Linked DNA regions of Macaca mulatta. The main gene of each other region encodes a partner of the protein of the gene in region 2 in a complex. Links are inferred from orthologs where the notes say so. Each region holds a gene or a part of one and is shown on either strand. Other genes may lie near its edges. The genes, in order: FNIP1, LAMTOR1 and LAMTOR2.

Region 1 (3,647 bases), on a different chromosome or scaffold from region 2:
CTAAAAAATAATTAAATGATAGGGTATGGAAGAATATTACAGAACCTTATGAATGAAAAGCAGTGAAAATGTCTGTAATTATGTAATTAAAATTCCTGACATAGAATTGTCTGAGGCTGCCCATTTTTTTGTGAATTGTATCCACTTATAGTTTTATTTCATAGAAAAGAGGTAGAAAACATGTAAGGATGGCCAGGCGTGGTGGCTCACACCTGTAATCCCAGCACTTCGGGAGGCCGAGGTGGGTGGATCATGCGGTCAGGAGATCGAGAGCATCCTGGCTAATACGGTGAAACCCCATCTCTACTAAAAATACAAAAACATAATTAGCCAGGCGTGGTGGTGGGCTCCTGTAGTCCCAGTTACCCGGGAGGCTGAGACTGGAGAATGGCATGAATCCAGGAGGTGGAGCTTACAGTGAGCCGAGATCATGCCACTGCATTCTAGCCCGGGCGGCAGAGCCAGACTCTGTCTCAAAAAAATAAACAAACGAAAAAAAACATGTAAGGAAATGCTAGGATTTTAGTGATGCATTTTCAGTGTGATGTTTTATCATACTGTTTTCTTTTAACTATTCAAGTCTTTGGAATCCAGATGAGTAATTCAGATGTTTTTATTCTCTTTGATGATAGACGGAGTTTGCTCAATACTTTGCCTCGTTTTCCCATTCAGTAATTTGGAAATGTAAGGACCTGCTGGTTGATTCAGTAATGAATTGTGTGATTAAACACTGAAAATAATCCATAATGGGCCTGGCACGGTGGCTCACGCCTGTAATCCCAGCACTTTGGGAAGCCGAGGCGGGTGGATCATGAGGTCAGGAGATCGAGACCATCCTGGCTAAGACCATCCTGGCTAACAGGATGAAACCCCGTCTCCACTAAAAATATAAAAAATTAGCCGGGCGTGGTGGCGGGTGCCTGTAGTCCCAGCTACTCGGATGGCTGAGGCAGGAAAATGGCATGAACTGGGGAGGCGGAGCTTGCAGTGAGCTGAGATTGCGCCACTGCACTCCAGCCTGGGCAACAGAGCGAGACTACATCTCAAAAAAAAGAAAAAGAATCCATAATTTTTGAAGTAAAAGGGCATTTCTGTTTTGTACTTATGATCTACAATAGCTCTTTTGAATGTTACCTTTATTTTAAGTAGTTTTTAACTCCTTCTCAACCGGAAACAATTAACTTTCATTTTAATCCTGGTGTTATATACTCATCCTTTCCACTCTCCTCTGCTTTTTTTGGTGCCATTTGGCCACATGAACATATATACTCTTCTTGCTTACTTTGTCACTACATAAAGGTTTCATGAAGGCAGATTGGAATTTGATCAGATGTATTTTGTTTTCAGATTCTTGCCAGCTCTCATTACTGCAGTTCTGACTAATCATCTTGCCTGGGTTCCAACAGTCATGCCAAATGGACAGCCACCTATAAAAATATTTTTAGAAAAGCATTCCTCTCAGAGTGTGGACATGTTGGCAAAGACTCATCCATATAACCCACTTTGGGCACAACTGGGTATGTAATCTGACAACTGTTACAGTATATATTAAACTTGTTTTGTAGCTATCTGTAATATTTTTATAGCAAAACCAAAAATAAATAAAATGCCTTTACCTCCTGCATTCTAAAGCATCTCTGCTTTGCTTGTCCTTTCATGTCTGGCAATTTATCCTATCCTCATCTTAGACCTGAAATCATTCCTTATAGATGAAGAACTGCAGGTATGGCAAGAGGAGCAGGCTAATAGCTGGTTTACTAGTAACTCCAGATTTTCAGGGTGTTTTATGATTTTGTACTTTGTGTTAGGTACTTTGCAAGAAAGAATGAATCAACAAAGTCACCTGTGATACCTAAAATAAATCTGGTTAGGAGGGAAGCAGTTCACTGAGGTTTCTGTTGATCCACTTTTGTTCACTTGCTGAGTCATTTTGGAAAATGTTTCCCTCAGTGTTAAACACCACTAAACAAGTGGGGGAAGAGGGGAGAGTAAGTGGTTGATAAGTTCATAGGCAATAGGGAGGGATTATAGCAGAGTGCTAAAGACACAGGCTGTGGAGTCAGGCACACCACGTTTGAATCACAGTTTCCTTATTCATAAAGTGGGAATAATAATAGATGATACATACTTTAAAAGTTGTAAAAATTAAATGAGATAATACATGTAAAATGGTTAAGACTGTCTGGTAAACGTAGCTGCTAGTTATTTCTGCTCCTACTCTATTGCTGTTAGATGATGGGAGAAGAGTAAGATGAGAACATTTTGGTGATTGGGTAGTAACTTTCCTTAGGTTGCTCTGGTGATTGACCTTGCCAGGTAGATTGTCATATGGCTTATCAGTTCATATAACCAACCTCCTTCCCTATTGGCTTTCTCCCTTGCTCCCTCCCCCATTCCCTTCCATTTTATTGAGTTATAATTGACATATAGTAAATGCATTTTTTTAATGGAGTCTCACTCTTGCCAAGGCTGGAGTACAGTGGCATGATCATGGCTCACTGCAGCTCCAATCTCCCTGGGATCAAATGATCCCCCTACCTTAGTCACCCAAGTTGCTGGGACTACAGGTGCATACCACCACACTAGGCTAGTTTTTGCATTTTTTGTAGAGATGGGGTTTCGCCATGTTCCCCAGGCTGCTCTCAAACTCTTGGACTCAAGCGATCTGCTCACGTTGGCCTCCCAAGGTGCTGGGATTACAGATGTGAGCCATCACACCCGGCCCAACACATATTTAAAGTACACAATTTGGGCTGGGTGCGGTGGCTCACGCCTGTAATCCTAGCACTTTGGGAGGCTGAGGTGGGTGGATTACTTGAGGTCAGGAATTCGAAACCAGCCTGGCCGACATGGGGAAACCCTGCCTCTACTAAAAATACAAAACAATGGCCAGGTGCAGTGGCTAACGCCTATAATCCCAGCACTTTGGGAGGCTGAGGCGGGTGGATCACAAGGTCAGGAGATTGAGACCATCCTGGCTGACACGGTGAAACCCCATCTCTATTAAAAATACAAAAAATTAGCCGGGCATGGTGGCGGGCGCCTATAGTCCCAGTTATTCGAGAGGCTGAGGCAGGAGAATGGCGTGAATCCAGGAGGCGGAGCTTGCAGTGAGCTGGGATCGCACCACTGCACTCTAGCCTGGGCAACAGTGCAAGACTCCGTCTCAAAAAAAAAAAAAAAAAAAAGAAACCAAAAAAACAATTAGCTGGGCATAGTGGCAGGCGCCTATAATCCCAGCCACTTAGGAGGCTGAGGCAGGAGAATCCCTTGAACCCGGAGGCAGAGGTTGTAGTAAGCCGAGATCATGCCACTGCACCACAGCCTGGGCAACAGAACGAGAATCTGTCTCAAAAAAAAAAAAAGCAATTTGATAAGTTTCGCATATATGCCTCTGAAACCATGACCACAATCAAAACAGTAATCATATTGCATCATTTCCAAAAGTTTCCTTATGCCTTTTTGTAATCTCTTCCTCTTCCTCCCCCTCTTCTTCTCCCCAGTTTCTCTGTTCCTCTTCCACCATCCCTACACAGCCACTGGCTTACTTTCTGTCATGATAGATTACTTGCATTTTCTAGAGTTTTATATGAATGGAATCATGCAGTATATACTTTGCAGATTCACCTATTTTGTGTGTATTAATA
Region 2 (3,747 bases):
CTTGAGAAAGAAGAGTAAGGTGAAAAGGCTGGGCCTCCCTAAGCAGGGCAGGAGGAAGTAGCCCTCTACAAGGAGAGTTGTGGAGTTGTGGGCAGGGGAGCTGGAGCCTGCAGCAGGAAAGACTGAGGAACTGAGACAGGCCTGGAGGGGAGCATTGAGGAGTCTGACACTGAAGGTTGGTGAGTCAGCATTAGCCAGGATGTCCCCCTGGGCCCATCCTTGGCTTTGTCCAGGGCACTCTTGCTCTTTATGGGTTGGATAGATACCCAGCAGGTTTGTTTTTCCAATTTACCACTGATAACAGCAATCAAGGATTTGCAGCTGATGGACTCAAGGCAGGGTCAAATCCAGAAATATTACAGTAGATAGAACAGGGGACTGAAACAGGACAAGTAGTAAGACCAAACCAGTGAGGAAGCTTGGTTTGGTCTTACGTTAGTTCAGGGGTTGTGATTATCAGCATAGGCCAGCAGTAACAGGGCTGCTGAAAATTTACATGGGCTACTCAGGTGGTTTAGCAAGGGCGGGAATAGCTCCATTGTTGTTTGTTTTGAGATGGGGTCTTGCTCTCTTGCCCAGGCTGGAGTACAGTGGCACAATCCTAGCTCACTGCAGCCTCAAACCCTGGGTTCATACAGTCCTCGCACTTCAGCCTCCCAAGTAGCTGGGACTGCAGGGCTCACACTACCAAGTCCAGCTAATTTTTTATTTTTTTTGTAGAGACAAGGTCTTGCTTTGTTGCCCGGGCTGGTCTCAAACTCCTGGACTCAAGCAATCCTCCTGCTTTGGGCTCCCAAAGTGTTGGGATTCCCAGTATGAATCACCACACACGGGTACAGCTCTACTGCTCAGATCAGGATACACCTCGTACACTCAGTTTGATTCTGGGAGTCACACAGAAAAAGAGCACCAGAGCACAAGAGGGTGAACACCTTCCTAGGGACCTGCCTTCAAGAAGGGAACACACTTGTACTGTGTGACCCAGAGCTGGGCTGGGATTCCTGCCCTGACATAATTTGAGAAATGGCCATGGAGAGGTTGGGCTTGCTTTCCCTTGGGGCCTAGGGCCTTGTCTGGACTCACCAGGGCTTCCATCTTGGAAGGAAACAGCTTTGCTGCGGAGGGCCTGGTCCTGGGGGATGAGGAGGGCTGTTCTTGGGCTCCTGACTTGCACTGGTTTCCCCTTTAGCTCCCATTGCTTTGCTATGTCTCAGCTCCTCTGTCTTCCAGCCTCTAGTATCCTTTCTCTGCCAGGTCCTAGAATGTTTTTCAAGCTCCAGGGCTGTTGCTGACTATCTGCTTTGTGCCTCTGTCCCTTTTTTCAGGGCCTCTAGGACTGCCTGGCTCCACTCTCGTTTATCCTAGAACACCAACTCAGCTGAGCTCCCAAGGATAGGCAGGAACTGAGTCTTATCTGGCATTCCATAAAGCTGGGCACTTTGGATATTCCTTATAGAAATATTTTTGGTGTTTAAGGTCAGAGCTGGGCTGACCCATGAAAGGCAGGATCTAAGGGTCCTGGGGCTGACTTCTCTCCCATGACCACTTCTAGGACCGAGAGGAACGGAAGCTGCTGCTGGACCCTAGCAGCCCCCCTACCAAAGCTCTCAATGGAGCCGAGCCCAACTACCACAGCCTGCCTTCCGCTCGCACTGATGAGCAGGCCCTACTCTCTTCCATCCTTGCCAAGACAGCCAGGTAAATGTCAGAGGACCAGGCCTGGGTCAGAGCTCCTCTATCCATATTAAAGGCCAGGATAGAAGGAGCGAGGCTCAGGACATGGGGGATGGGATAAGGTCACTGGAGAGAGGTGCCTCCATGTCCAGCCCTGCTCCAGTAGGCACGAGGGAAACTGGAGTCAGATAACCCTGGAGTTGGTACCTGGCACTGAGTCCTGTTTGTCCTTCTCAAAAGCACCTGTCATGTCATCTCTGTCTCTTCTCCCTAAAGCAACATCATTGATGTATCTGCTGCAGACTCACAGGGCATGGAGCAGCATGAGTACATGGACCGTGCCAGGCAGTACAGGTGAGCACCTGGCCAGGGTGGGTCCCTCAGGCTACTTGGGCTCCTACCCTCCATCACTGTTCCAGCTTCGGAGCCTGGCCCCTAGTCCAAGCTTCTCATTTGGTGCAGCCCTGGAGACTGACCACAGATCACTTGGGTGCTTCAGTAAATATTCATGTCAGCCCTGTTTACCCTGTGACACTCTCGAGGGCATTGAGGCCAAGGGAGGTGGGCCTAGAGTGAGTCTGTGATGAGCTGAGACCTTCCCTCCCAGATACCCCCCTCAGCACCCTGCTTCTCTGGCCTGAGGGGATGAGGCTTACCTGGGCTGGGCAGGGCAAACTGTGGCTTAACTGCGTACCCCCACCCCCTCTCTCGGTCAGCACCCGCTTGGCTGTGCTGAGCAGCAGCCTGACCCATTGGAAGAAGCTGCCACCGCTGCCGTCTCTTACAAGCCAGCCCCACCAAGTGCTGGCCAGTGAGCCCATCCCGTTCTCTGATTTGCAGCAGGTGAGACACCCCTTGCCTGCCCCTGCCCACCCTTCCCACACTGCCCAGGGTGTGGCAGAGGGTTCACCCACTCTGCCTCAGAGGAGGTAGGGAAGATGGAGTTAGGGAGCCTGGTAGCCTTGTGGGCCCCAGTTCCCTCTCACCTCGTTCTCTTAACATATGTCTTTCCTATCTCCTTCCCGCAACCTTTATTGTTTCACTCCCCTTTGTTCTTTTCCTTCTGTCTCTCCCATCCCTGTCTTTCTCTCTGCCTTCCTGTTCCCCATCATTCCCTCCTTCTCCTTCATCACCATCTAATCTCCCCTCCCTCTTTTTCCTGATCGGCCTCCTCACCTGTCTCTGTTCCTCTCCTCCCCGGTCCCTCTCTGTCTTAGGTCTCCAGGATAGCTGCATATGCCTACAGTGCACTTTCTCAGATCCGTGTGGACGCAAAAGAGGAGCTGGTTGTACAGTTTGGGATCCCGTGAAGAGAGGGGTCCTTGGACAGCTCTTCTCCTCTCTTCATCCCATCTCTACCCCACCCCCTTGGCCCCCAGCCTCACTGCGGCTTATATAGTACCCTAACCTGCTACTAATCACAGAGAAAAATGTGAAGAAGGAGGAGAAGAGGAAGGCTGGAAGCCTGAGCAAGTGAGGGTAGAACCTTTTGGGACTGGCCTTTGAAGCTCTGGCCAGGGATAGGGTGGGGGCCAAAAGGACAGAGCCTGGTATGTCGTCATAGTCATTGAGAATGTGGAGACACCAGTTTGGGTGGGGGGTGATCACCAGGGGACCTAGGGAGATCCCCTTCCCACCCTCTCTCTTGGCCTCAAAGTCACTCCTGCCCCCTCTCCCTGACTTGGTGCTCACATGCACCTCACGAGGGTTTGTGACCAGGGTCTGGATGAGCTTGAATTTGAATGAATTGAGTTTGTATTTCTAGAACCCTGGGTTTTTACATGTTTGGTCTTTTTTTTGTTTTGGTTTGTCACCCTCGATAAAGGAAGTATATTCATCCATGTGCTGGTTCTGGCCCCTCTGTCCTATTCATTCTACTTTTGACTACTCAGGTCTATGAGAGTAAGATGGGGGGCAGGGGGCATCTTGCAGAGGCACTGAAGATGAATCCAGGAGATAAGGGTTTAGGGTGTCAGCTCCTAGCTGAGACCTGGCTTGGGCTAACCTCAGATTGGATGAGACTGTTCTTGTCCCTTGTCCAGTGATGATGGGAACACTGTCAAAGCTGAACAG
Region 3 (3,747 bases), on a different chromosome or scaffold from region 2:
GCTGGCCCCCGCTCTCCTCTCCGGGGCCCTCCAGGACGCCAGACCGTCAGGGAGGCCCCCATCTCTTCGCAGACCCCTCCTCCGCGCTCCCCCCGCCTCCCGCCTGCTGTACTACCTCCTTGACCGAGGCTCGATCGCAGATCACAATTTCCTCCTTGTCCTTAGGGGTCTTGACGGTGACCCGAATAGGGGGCCTCGTCTCGGCCCCGCTCGGCTCCGCCATGCCGCCGCCGCCACCCGGCCGCCCGCCAGCCCGCCCGGCTCCTCCTCCTCCCCGCCCGCCCGGCCGGCCCGGCTCGGCTCCTGCGCCTCCAACACTCCCCTCTCTCCACCTCTCCCCTCCCCTCCCCTCCCCTCCTCTCCCCTCCCCTCCCTGAGGCTTCACCGCCCCCTCCAGACCAGCCGCAGCCACAGCGCCCCGGGCGGACCGGGGGGGCCACTGCAGCGGGGTCCGCCCAGGGCCAAGCCCCAGGTCCGGAATCCGGCCAGGGTCTCGCCAAGCTGGGGCTCCTGGGGAGGCTCTGGGCGGGGGAAGGGACGTGCCCTTCACTGCGGGGGCGAGGGCGAACTCCCCGGGAGACCGCGGCCCAACGCTGCTCGCCCGAGCCGTGCCGCCGTCCCCTCCGGCCCAAAGCCTCCCCGCCCCCTCCGCGGCTAACTCTGCTCCGGGACAAAGGACTTTGTGTGTCGCCGCTTTATCTCCGTTCCCTGTGATAACTTGGTCTTTCTTGGAAGCCCCAAGTCCCTTCCAGGCCAGGGGCCTTTCCCGACTTGGAGGTTGGGTTTCCCACCAAGCACGTCCACTTAGGATCTCAGCTCTAGGACTGACCCTATAGCCCCGAGGGTCGCGGCCTAAATGGTCTGTTGCGAACGGTTCCAGGGAGCTGGGTTTTGGCTGCGTGGCCTTTCAGAGCCTTGATTTCCTCAAGATAATAATAGTACCTCTCGCCTCATCGCACAGAATTGTGCATAACGGAGAAAACTGTTTTGAAAGTAACCAAAGGCGCGCCTGACAAATATGAGGATGTAGTATAATTATTGAATCGTGGACTGCCAAGCGGACACGTTGATTCCTTTCTCCCCGAAGGGGTTAAATGTCCTTCCAGCGCTGCAGCTGTCCTTTCACTCCCGCTCTTTTCCGCCCCCACAACCGCGTGGTCCGCCTGGAAAGGCGAACTATAGTTCCCATGGTGCCTCGCGAGGTCACGAGGAACTACGATTCCCAGAGACCCCCGCGGCGGGGCGGTGTTGAGTCGGAACCACAATAGCCAGGCGAGGAAACTACAACTCCCAGGGCATCCCGGAGCAGGCCAACGGGACTACGGGAAGCAGCGGGCAGCGGCCCGCGGGAGGCATCTCGGAGGATCTGGGTGCAAAAACCCAGGGTTAGGAGCGGTAGGCATGCTGCGCCCCAAGGCTTTGACCCAGGTGCTAAGCCAAGCCAACACTGGAGGCGTCCAGAGCACCCTGTGAGTGCGGACCACGGACCCCAGCGGCGCGCGCTGCAGTGGAGCGGCGTGCGACTCCCTGAGGGAGGGGTGGGGAAGGATCGCCCGGAAGGGAGGAGGCGTCAGAGGGGGCAGTGGCTGGGGGTACCGGCCGGGAGGTCACCTCTCGAAAAGGGAGGCCGGTGTGCTGGGTGCTTAGGGCACGTTCCGGGACACACTCAGCCGAGAGCCTTGCTGGATGTGCCCGTGGCGGGACTTGAGATGGAAACCCAGACGTTTTACTCCCCGCGCTGAGCACATCGTTATCCCTCCCCGCCCCTCACCAGGCTGCTGAATAACGAGGGATCACTGCTGGCCTACTCTGGTTACGGGGACACTGACGCCCGGGTCACCGCTGCCATAGCCAGTAACATCTGGGCCGCCTACGACCGGAACGGGAACCAAGCATTTAATGAAGACAATCTCAAATTCATCCTCATGGACTGCATGGTATGGAGAGGGGAGCCAGACTTCCCCTGTCCCCCAAGGGGATCCCAAGGGGGCGACCTGGACCCCATCCTGGATGGTTGGAGGGGCAGGGACAGGATCTCCGGAAGATTACTAAGAGTTGGTCTGCAGCAGCATTTGTAATAGGCAGGACCCTATTCATCAAGTGGTGGTGAGGAAGGAGCCCTGGACCTGAGAGGTCTGACTTGGGTTCTGGTCTCAGCCATCCACTTATCAGTTGTGGAACCTTGGGTAAGTCGCTTAACCTCTCTCAGCTTCCTTACCTCATGTCTAAGGAGAAGACAATTTCCCTCTCCCCGCTTCCCTCGTGGGTTGTTGTGAAGGTCAAATGAAATAATGGGTATAAACAGTAGAATGACGTGCAAACACAAAGTGTTGTCATCCCAGCTTCACCGACTCACAGAACCATGGCAGTCTCCAGACCCTAGTCCAACCCCTTAAGGTTACAAAGAAAGGAAAATGAAGTCCAGAAAGGGGAAGTCGCCATTAGACTGTGAACTTCCTAGTATCTGTTCAGTTAACAAATATTTAGGTCCTTGCAGTGTTCTCAGGACTAGGGAAAAAAAACAGCAAACAGAAAGACAAAACCCCCAGACCTAATAAATCTTACACAGTGATGCGATCACAGCTCACTGCAGCCTCGACCTCCCTGGGCTCAGGTGATCCTGCTGCCCCAGCCTCCTGAGTAGCTGTGACTACAGTCATGCACCACCACACCTCACTAAGTTTTGGATTTTTTGCAGAGACTGGGTTTTGCCATGTTGCCCAGGCTGGTCTCAAACTCCTGGCTCAAGTGATCCACCCACCTCGGCCTCCCAAAGTGATGGGATTACAGGTGTGAGTCACTGTGCCCGGCCACATTTTTTAAAATAAGTAAAATATGTAGTATATATTAGGTATTGAAATTGCAATGGAGAGAAAGCAGGGAAGTTAAAGAGTATGAGTTTGTTGGGCGTATGTGTCAGGGACAGTCTCACTGGAAAGGTGATATTTGATCAAAGATGTGAAGAAAGGTGGGGGACAAGCCATGTGGCTATCTGAGGGAAGAATATTTTGGACAGAACAGCAAGTACCAAGGCCCTGAGGCAGAATTATGCCTGCTCAAGGATCAACAGGGTTGGTTGGTATGGCTGGAGTTGCATGAGAATGGAGGAGGGTTAAGTAGGAGATAAGGTCAGAGAGGCAGGGAGTGCAGTGCTTGGTTCCTGGCATACAATGAATACCTAGTAAAAGTTTGCCGAACTTACTTTTGTTTTTTTCAAATCGGCCAGAGGGTGAACTCTCCAGGAAGGATCTTCATAGTAACTCAACTGCCTACTCTCCCCTACCCCCTGCACAACCAATGCCATTTTTAGTTCAACATAAGACTCCTACTGGATGCCTAGAGCTGGTGCTATAAGGAAATAGCTTTCAAACGTTTTGACCACAACCCAGCCATAAGAAATATATTTTAAAGGGCCGGCACGGTGGCTCATGCCTGTAATCCCAGCACTTTGGGAGGCTGAGGCGGGCAGATCATGAGGTCAGGTGTTCAAGACCAGCCTGGCCAACATGGTGAAACCCTGTCTCTACTAAAAGTACAAAAAATTAGTCAGGCATGGTGGCATGTGCCTGTAATCCCAGCCACTAAGGAAACTGAGGCAGGAGAATCACTTGAACCCAGGAGGTGGAGGTTGCAGTGAGCTGAGATCACGCCATTGCACTCCAGCCTGGGCAACAGAGCGAGACTCCATCTCAAAAAAAAAACCAAAACAAACAAACAAACAAAAAACAAATACATTTTAAGGCTGAG

What was found.
Region 1: LAMTOR1 (region 2) and FNIP1 share a complex: the UniProt entries of both Homo sapiens proteins name them as parts of the lysosomal folliculin complex. The link is inferred for Macaca mulatta from reciprocal best matches to the Homo sapiens genes LAMTOR1 and FNIP1.
Region 3: LAMTOR1 (region 2) and LAMTOR2 share a complex: the UniProt entries of both Homo sapiens proteins name them as parts of the ragulator complex. The link is inferred for Macaca mulatta from reciprocal best matches to the Homo sapiens genes LAMTOR1 and LAMTOR2.

The regions. Positions count from the first base shown.
Region 1 is NC_133411.1:140,591,905-140,595,551, reverse strand, and holds part of FNIP1 (folliculin-interacting protein 1), read left to right. Parts: intron 1-1,347; coding exon 1,348-1,517; intron 1,518-3,647. UniProt on the Homo sapiens protein: Binding partner of the GTPase-activating protein FLCN: involved in the cellular response to amino acid availability by regulating the non-canonical mTORC1 signaling cascade controlling the MiT/TFE factors TFEB and TFE3.
Region 2 is NC_133419.1:72,394,729-72,398,475, reverse strand, and holds the end of LAMTOR1 (ragulator complex protein LAMTOR1), read left to right. Parts: intron 1-1,552; coding exon 1,553-1,698; intron 1,699-1,950; coding exon 1,951-2,028; intron 2,029-2,390; coding exon 2,391-2,517; intron 2,518-2,891; coding exon 2,892-2,984; 3' UTR 2,985-3,516; downstream 3,517-3,747. UniProt on the Homo sapiens protein: Key component of the Ragulator complex, a multiprotein complex involved in amino acid sensing and activation of mTORC1, a signaling complex promoting cell growth in response to growth factors, energy levels, and amino acids.
Region 3 is NC_133406.1:110,879,748-110,883,494, reverse strand, and holds the start of LAMTOR2 (ragulator complex protein LAMTOR2), read left to right. Parts: upstream 1-1,276; 5' UTR 1,277-1,401; coding exon 1,402-1,469; intron 1,470-1,774; coding exon 1,775-1,937; exon of another isoform or gene 1,938-2,955; intron 2,956-3,747. Other genes in the region: UBQLN4 (ubiquilin-4), read right to left, coding at 116-223. UniProt on the Homo sapiens protein: As part of the Ragulator complex it is involved in amino acid sensing and activation of mTORC1, a signaling complex promoting cell growth in response to growth factors, energy levels, and amino acids.